Sus scrofa: one gene and its partner. Each later gene encodes a partner of the first gene's protein in a complex. Links are inferred from orthologs where the notes say so. Each region holds a gene or a part of one and is shown on either strand. Other genes may lie near its edges.

Region 1 (4,336 bases):
GGCCAGGCTGGGTCGGGGTGCAGCCCCCTGGCCAAACTCATCCGGTTGGTGGGCGGGGCCCAGGCCTCTTGCTGCTGATCGCCTTGACAGGTTACACGGCGAAAAATGCATGGAAAGACGACGTCTTCTTCTCCTGGTCCTATTTTTCGGGGTGGCTGGCTTTACCCTTCTCTATTCTCGCGGGTAACCTGGACAGTGGAGGAGGGTGGAGGAGACTGCCCCGAGGGCCGCTCCCCTCCCTGCAGAGACCCCCCCCCCAGCCTCCTCAAGACACCACAGAGACTCCCCAGTACACTCCACTCTCGGCTTTCCCGCGGACCTGGCAGAAATGCCCCTAGAGCCCCAAACCCCAGTCCCCGGGGCCCTCCTGGCCATTCGCCCCAGAACCCACCTTTCCTCCACCCTCCCTCCGTTCCCGTTCCCCTCCCGTTAGGCTTCTGCTTTCTGCTGGCGGACATGATCCTGCAGAGCACAGATGCCATCAGTGGATTCCCCGTGTGCTTGTGACCGCAGCTGCCTGGGACAGAATAAAGGAAGGGCTTCCACCGCCGCGGTTTCACGTGCCTTTCTGGGGGACGCGAGGACGGGGACGCGGGGGTACCTGGAGGCTCAGGGAAAACGTAAGGGCTTGAATCTACAGGGAACATGTAGACATGGGGTCACGGGCATAGTGGAGACTCGGACCTGGACAGGTCAAGGGAGGTGTATTTGGAGGGGAACGGGGACACAGGGATAATGGAGTCAGGAGGGGACGTGGGCGCATAGAGAAGATGTAGGGACCCAGACATGGAGGAAAAGTGGAGACAAGGACGGGGAGATCGGATATGGGGAACTAGAAACACAATCATGGGATGAGGAACACGGGCATGGAAGGAACGGGGGGACGCAGAGGAGTCAGAGGTGTGGGGACACGGGCACTGCGACTCAGGCGAGTAAGAGGTGAGAACTAGGGAAGGGGGAAGATCTGAGGGCACTGGGAAAAGTGGAGAACTCTCCGGGAATGTGTCCCTCCGCTGCACGACCTTTTCCCTAGTTCTCGGCCACGCTCCCTCCGCAAGGATGTTCGCCTTTCCCACCGGGTTCCGCCTCCCTCCCCAAGATCCGCTCTCTATTGGTCCGCATCTGCTTGCCCCACCTCCCTCCCCTCTGGCCTTCCGATTGGTCCTCTGTCGGACGGGGAGGCGAGCACCGTAGCGGTTGACTGGCTGGCGGCGCGGGGCGCAGGCGCAGAGAAGGACAGGGGGGCGGGGCGTCCGGACTGTGAAGCCGAGAGCGAAGACTGACCCGGCTGGTCGCCGCTGCAGGAAGATGGCGGAGCTGCGCGCGCTTGTAGCTGTCAAGAGAGTCATCGACTTCGCCGTGAAGGTGACCGGGCCCCCCCCCCCCTGAACCCCGCGGCCGTGTGCTTCCGGGGTCACGAGCGCACACTGTTTGAGGTTCTTCTGGTACCTCTTATCTCTGCCGCTCTGACCGCAAAAGTCAAAGTCACACCTGAGGGCAAAGATCAAGAACTGAGAGGTTCTGACGCCCGAGCCCTCTTCATTCAAAACTAGCCCCTCTGGGGTCAGGACCTCGTTCCCCAGTTCTGGACTCACCCTCTTGAGAATTGTCTGCAGGGCGACTTACCTTCTCTATTTCTCAGCTGCTGGAGGAGTCTGTAACACACGGAGAAACTGAGGCACAGAGAGGTCACTCAGCTGGGAGGGGGCAGAGCCGGGATTTCCTATCCAGGTCCCTCCGACTCCGCATCCCAACGAGTGCTTTGCACTCAAGCCAGGCTTTCACCCACTAGGCTGCACTGCACACTCACGTGACTACCGCACACAGTGTGCTTTAATGGAGGTCCAACGGGGGCGCTGTGGGAACCCAGAAACTGTCACAGCCCCAGGGTGACTGAGGAGGCTCTAGCTAGGAAGGGAGGAGTGTGCTTTCGAGAGATGAAAAGCCACCCTGACAAGCTGTTGGAATAGCTCCCATCCTCCTTGAGAGAGGCAGGGGCCAGGGTTGTAACCTTGGCAAGGTCTCCGAGGGCCTGGCTTGTCCCCCAGAGAGACGCTGTCTCCATACTTGGCCTAAATCAGCCTGAAGGTAGGGACTGTCCATCCACGTCTGTACCCTCCCCACCCCCTGCATCAGACTGGGACCCCACGGCTGTGTCCCCAGCATTGGCTGTATAGTTTTTACTAATGCATTAGGCAGCATCCTTCTGAGTCCTTGATAGAGATGAACCTAGTCAGTCCTTTTTATTTCTTTTGCTTTTTAGGGCCGCACCCCCAGCCTGTGGAAGTTCCCAGGGGTGGAATCGCAGCTGCAGCTGCCAGCCTACACCATAGTCACAGCAACACAGGATCCTTAACCCACTGAGCAAGGCCAGGGATTGAACCCGCCGTCTCATGAAGGCTAGTCGGATTTGTTTCTACCGTGCCACAACAGAAGCTTCCCTATTCGGTCCTGTTAATACTGATCATTAATCTCATCAGGCAGGTGAGGACACTGCAGGTTCCATTGCTTGCGACATCATCAGCTAGGCAGCCGCAGTCATGTTTGAAAAGTGCAGGCAAATCCGGCTCCCCTCTCTGTTTCTCCCATCCTCACTCAACAGCCCCTCGGCCTAATGACAGCCCTGGCAGCAAGTGGCAGGGGGGTTGCCTTCAGCCTTTTTGGGGACAAGCCTGATCCTCCAGGTTCCCGCCCCCTTCTCACTGTTCCTTTGGGCTCCCAAAGCCTCTCTCTCCCCTAGCCCTGGTCCCTGACCTGAGATGTCTGGGGTCAAACCTGTCCGTTCCCGCCCCCACCCCAGACAGGCTCCCATTTGACTGAGCTCTGGGTTGGAGCTTCGCCCAGCACAGGACCTGGCCCATGGGTGAACCCGTCCTTATTTGAGCTCCTTTCATCATCCCTCCCCCGCAATGTCCTCAGCTGCCTGCCCCTCCCACAACACCCCAGGGCTCCCTCCATCGCATCCTGTCTTCCTGGATGTGTCCCTTGAGGTCCCTTTCTGAACAAATAAGCGATTCAGACACGGCCAACTACCTAATTACCGGGCCAGACCCTGGACACCATCCCAGCCCTCTGCCCCTCCCCTCCTCCCCTCCCCTCCCCACAGCCTGTGGTTTCTCAGCCCATCCCTCCAGCCCTCTCCATCCCTGTCCTGCTCCCCCTCCTCCAGCAGTTCATGTCCCACCTGAACCCTCTCCTCCCCAGGTCCCCAGTCTCTCCTCTCCAGTCCATCCCCTCCCAGCCTTGGAGGGGCCTCCCCCCCACCCCACCCCCGCACCACCAGTAGCTCATCATCAGGGCTGACTCCCTACCCCCACCCCTGCTGTGGCTCATCTTCCCACCGCTCCCCCAGCAGCCCCAGGACAGGGTCCCAGCCCCTCAGCCTGGTGCTCCAGACCCTTCGGGGTCCAGCCCTGGCCTCCTGGCCTTCCTCACCCTTTGTGCCTCCACAGCTCCCGCCTGCTCATGTTTTCCTGACTGCCCAGGCTGCTTCTTGGCATTTCCTTTGCTCCCGCTGTGCCTTCTGCCTGAATGCCCTTCCAGATCCACCCTCCCAGCTCTGCTTCTTAGCCCTCTCGTGGCCTGCCTAACCTTGACCCCAAGCAATGCAGCAAAGGTTAGTGATTCAGTGGCATTGCCACCTCCAGGAAGGCCCCCACCCCATCCCCTGAGGCTACCTGGATGTGGCCTTGAGCGCTCCTGCAACCCCCAGTCTTGTCCCTCAGCCCTTCCCATACTGGAGTGAGATCCCCTGTTTGCCCAGATGTCACCCTGTGCCCCTAAACTGGCACCTCCTTTCCGGTGGGGTGTGTGTGTGTGTGTGTGTGTGTGTGTGTGTGTGTTTGTCTGACCTGTCTTTGTGTTCCCCACTCCTTCTAGACTTTGCTCAAAGGTCACCTTCTCCGGGAGGCCTTCCCTGGTCACCTGCTTGGCCTCTTTCTGCCTCAGTTGCTCCATCTTTTTTTGTTGTTGTTCCAGAGCCACAGCAGTGACAATGCTAGATCCTTAACCCATGGAGCCACCAGCAAATTCCTGCTCCACCTTTAAAATGAGGATGAGGGTGTTCCCTTCGTGGCTCAGCAGGTTGAAAACCCAACGTAGTGTCCGTGAGGATGCGGGTTCCATCCCTGGCCTTGCCCAATGGGTTAAGTTTCTGGGCTTGCTGTGAGCTGTGGCGTAGGTCACAGATGTGGCTCAGATCTGGCGTTGCTGTGGCTGTGGTGTAGGCCGGCAACTGCAGCTCTGGTTTGACCCCTAGCCTGGGAACCTCCATATGGTGCAGGTGTGGCCCTAAAAAGCAAAAACTAAAGTTAAATAAAATGAGGATAGGTGACTG
Region 2 (4,296 bases), on another chromosome or scaffold:
GTAGAGTCAAAATGGAAGTGGAATTTAAATACCAAATGCAAGACACTTAACTTACATTCTAACAGTTTGAGGTATCTTTTATCCCCACTAGTTGCAATAAAAAATAAAAGTTACTATTTTAACCATTTTTAAGTGTACAGTTTAGTACTGTTATCTAAATTCACACTGTTACCAGTTTAAACCTTTTAAATATTGTAATAGATTAATCTATTATTAAAAATATAGTCCTGGAGAAACATATCTTCCTAATTTTACTCATGGTTAGCTACAGAACAAATTTTTTTTTTTTAATTTCAAGAGTAGAGATTCAGATAAGCCATTCTGACTTTACAGTTTCATAAATATAAGTAAACAGGAGCCAGACTGAAGGGACTTGCACCTTAGAAATCTGGGACAACTTGAGCATCAAAATATTTAAAGAGCAGTCATGGATTATAACCTACTGAATGAAGTGAGCAAAAAAAAAGTACATAAATAAGCAAGAAGGAAATGTTCTTCCTTATAAATAACAGAAAGCTCATTAATGTAAAAGGAATGATGGAATTAGAAAAATCACTGTTTTACATCACAGTAATCATTTCCCAGGCAAGAATCATCAACAGATAAGACTACTGGGTGAAAGTCTGGTGAGAAAGAGAAGAGTTACGTAGTCTCAATGTACCTCCCCGCAAATTAGTTAAAAATTACAAAGGGAGGAGCAGAAATATGATAGTGGAGAAACCTGGCAAACAACACTTTGGCCAAGTAATTAATGTCACCAATAATGGGATAAACCACATTACCAGCCTCCTTTCACATGCACTGAGAACCTAATACCACTTCTGTGATACTCCTGCCAAAAATACAGAACCTGAAACTAATCAGAGGAAACACCAGACAAACCTAATTCAGGAAACAGTCAACAAAAGAGAAGGCATGTACCCTTCAAAAATGTCAATACCATTAAAGCCAAAGAAAGGCGAGAAGCTTTGCTAACAAAAACTTAAGAGAGGTGAGAACTAAATGCAAAGCATGATCCTGAAGTATCCTAGCGCAGAATAAGAAATATTGCTACAAATGACTAAGAAGACAATTGGCAATACTTGAATAATGTCTGTAGATTCAATAATATTCCATCATTGGTAAATATGCTGATTTTGCCAATTATACCGTGTTTATGAAAGGTGAACCTATTTGTTCATAGAAAACACACTGAACTATTTAGGAGTACAGGGCATGTCTGAAACATACTTTCAAATGGTTCAAAAAAACAATAATATGTGTATATGGAGAGAGCAAGCAAATTTGCCAAACTGTTTAACAGCTGGTGAAACTCAGCAAAGGGTTTTGAGAATTCTTTGTACTATTCTTGCAACTTTTCCGTAAGAATAAAACTGCAAAATTTTTAAAGTTAAAAATGTACATAAATTTATGCATCCCTTTTAGAAGTATTCTCATCATTTTCCTATACCCTTGAAATTCAAATCTCTCAAATGGTCTTAATGACTTTAGAGAAGCTACTCAGGACGTCAAATTCTGAAAATAAGTCAAGGTCAAAGTCTTTGGCAAATCACAGTAAAGATTTGGAAATACTGTCTATACATACTGCAAACTGTGTTTATAATTATAATTTAAGCTAGTCGTTCTATTTTGTTGTTCTTGGCTCTACAAAGTAACTTGATTCTAAATTCCTCCTCCATAACCATTTCACTTATGCCAGACTTCTAACCTGTCCACAAAACTACCTTTCAATTCTGTATAGATAAGAGTCTGGCTCTGAAACATGGAACTTTCCCAAATCCATGACTTTAATTTGTTTATGTCTGGATCCTCTGAGGAAAATTTCTGGGAGAAAGACTGATTGCTGACCTGAAGGATATGGGTTGGAACTGGAGGGGGTGAGGTAGAGCTTCAGACCTCTAGAAAGATTGCCAACTACGTCACTGAGAGAAAACTGCAGCAGTGGATAAGAAACTGAATGCACCAGAAGAACGGTAGAAAAAGTACAAAACGTCAGGAAAGTTTAGTAATCTTGTTTGTCACTTAACCAAATTGCAAATTAGAAAAGCTACAGTATCTACAATATAAATTGTTACTTAACTTGTAATTGGTCAACTCCAAATACTATTGTCCCACTAGCATTAGAACAAAAACATATTTTCTATCATCTTTCTCACCATAGAAAAATATGGTAAACTCACGATTTGTAATTAATGAAAGCATCAAAAACACCCCTACCAACAGTTCCCTAGCTATTTAACCAACAATCTGATCGTTTAAAAGCAGATCAGCTTGCAGTAAAAAGACACCTGCCTTTCGGAATTAGCTAAACCTTCAAACTGGATGATAGGTTACACATGCAATCACTTAAATTCAGCCCTGCCTCATTAGCCAGAGAGTAGAGCAAGTTTCCATAACCGCACCACCCCTCTTGATAGTGAGTGGATGCGAGCAGACACACTACGACCAAGGAAAATGTTTAATTCTTCCAGAAGTGTCAGGTTTCGAGATAAATTCAGGTTTTCAACTTTTTCCAAGACAGCATCCCAGCGGCGACATTTTCCTCCCGTGCGTAAAGATTCCCGGGGGCGCAGCTGCTCGCTCCCCGCCTGAGGTGGAGAACCTGGCAGCCTCGCAGTACAAGGAAGAAAACTGAAGGATGCGAAAAGGGCTTAGAAAAAAAGGCGGGGAGGGAGAAGGGCAGCAGGAGGGCAGCTTCAGTACTCTGACCTCTGACCTCGACCCCGAGCTGGCGTCGCGGAAAGAGGAACGGCCAAACCCCAAGAACTTTGAGCCTGAGTCCCAGGCCAGACTGGGCCTGCCGGATGTGAGGGCCGATGACCTTCACACAGACCTGCCCGGGGACAGCAGATTGAGGCTGGACAGACACGGGGCTCGGCCCTCCCCGCCTGGACTCACCGCCCGCCGGAGATGCACCGGAGCCACTGCTCGGAACATGGTCACTGCACCAGGCCGCTTCGCAGTACCCTCAGCCCCACAGTAGCCTGCAGCTGACCCAACCACACCGCCTCCGCGAGTCACCGAAACGCTCGCGAGACGCGGGAACGAGAGCGGACTCCCCCTCAAGGAGAGAGAGCTCGCGGTTCCTGCCTGCCTATTGGGCGGTCGGGCAGCCAATGGGGACGGCGGAAAGTTAGGGGCTGGCCTTGGGACTGGGGGCAAAACTGACGCTGTGCGCTAGGCTGCTGTGGCTGAAGCCGGACTCTACAAAGGCAGGGTTAAAGCCGGAGAGCTGCGGGTGAAGGAAGTCCAGGCTGTCTGCCGGCCCCAGTGTGCAGCGCGCACAGGCTAAACTTTCCCACTGAGCTGATAACGTCACTGTGCTGGGTTCTCAACCTCTGGATGAAGGCCACTCCTCTCACTCCAATTATTCTTCTGCCCTTTCATTTAATCACAAATATAAGTACTAACATCTGTAATATGCTAAACACATTTTCCAGGTTAGGGGAATATAATAATAGGATGCATAAAATGTTGATCTCACCAGACAATGGCAGAAACATACAAGTAAACATAGCATTGCTATTAGGAAAAGAGATTCTCCGAATCGGTGGTATTTAAGCTGGGTTCTGAAAGATGGACCCTCCTGAGCACAAACAGGGAAGGAACACGATGGGAAAGACCAAGGAGAAAGCGCAGGATTCTGTGTGCTGCCTGTTGACGGAGGCAGAGCAGCTGGAGATGGGCTGAAACAGCTGATTGGAAAGGTCTTGAATGGAGGTGTAACATGAGGCCCCACCAGAGCCCTCCTTCTCTCCCCATCTTACCTATCCCTGGGCAGCCCCACCCGCACCCTGGCTTCAAAGCCCTAGACTACCAAATCTCTCCTGACCTTTGGATCCTATCCACCTGCCTGCTGGGCATCTCCTCAGATGTTCCTCTACACCACAGACCCATACACCCACAACTGACTGGGCATTCTCTTCTGGATTTCATTCCCCCTCTAGCATTCTCTTTCTCAGGGAATGCTTTCCACCTCCACCCAGCTGCTCAAGCCAGAAATCTGGGAATCATATTTGACCTGTTTCTTCCTTTATTCCCTATCCTATGAGTTATTAAATTTTAGCAATTCCATTCCCCAAACAATTCCGCAATCCATCCAAGGCTATCTCCTACCCTGCTCTGTGTTGGGATTGTTGCGGTTGCCTCCTTACTGCTCTCCCAGCTTCCAGTCTTCACCCTTCAATCCATCTTGCACTGCAACCAAAGGGCTCTTTCAAAAGGGTAAACGGGTAATGAATACACTTCGATGGCTCCCCATTGCTCTCAGGATAAAATGAAAGTGCCCCCCCCCAG

The links.
Region 2: the proteins of ETFB (region 1) and ETFA are in contact, whole or in part, in a crystal structure (PDB 2A1U), measured with the Homo sapiens proteins. The link is inferred for Sus scrofa from reciprocal best matches to the Homo sapiens genes ETFB and ETFA. Residues at the interface, in NP_001976.1 of Homo sapiens: Ile14, Tyr16, Val18, Ile20, Val22, Val29, Thr31, Phe41, Leu102, Arg106, Lys124, Gln125, Ile127, Asp128, Asp129, Asp130, Cys131, Asn132, Gln133, Gln136, Met137, Ala139, Gly140, Phe141, Asp143, Trp144, Pro145, Gln146, Thr148, Phe149; in NP_000117.1 of Homo sapiens: Glu27, Leu88, Pro89, Glu90, Ser113, Ala114, Phe115, Lys117, Asn118, Pro121, Arg122, Ala124, Ala125, Lys126, Glu128, Val129, Ala130, Pro131, Ile132, Ser133, Arg146, Thr147, Ile148, Tyr149, Ala150, Gly151, Asn152, Ala153, Leu154, Cys155.

What each region holds. Positions count from the first base shown.
Region 1 is NC_010448.4:58,500,633-58,504,968, forward strand, and holds the start of ETFB (electron transfer flavoprotein subunit beta), read left to right. Parts: upstream 1-1,308; coding exon 1,309-1,365; intron 1,366-2,263; exon of another isoform or gene 2,264-2,484; intron 2,485-4,336. Other genes in the region: CLDND2 (claudin domain-containing protein 2), read left to right, coding at 64-183, 434-507. UniProt on the Homo sapiens protein: Heterodimeric electron transfer flavoprotein that accepts electrons from several mitochondrial dehydrogenases, including acyl-CoA dehydrogenases, glutaryl-CoA and sarcosine dehydrogenase.
Region 2 is NC_010449.5:56,537,216-56,541,511, forward strand, and holds the start of ETFA (electron transfer flavoprotein subunit alpha, mitochondrial), read right to left. Parts: upstream 3,061-4,296; 5' UTR 2,938-3,060; coding exon 2,899-2,937; intron 1-2,898. UniProt on the Homo sapiens protein: Heterodimeric electron transfer flavoprotein that accepts electrons from several mitochondrial dehydrogenases, including acyl-CoA dehydrogenases, glutaryl-CoA and sarcosine dehydrogenase.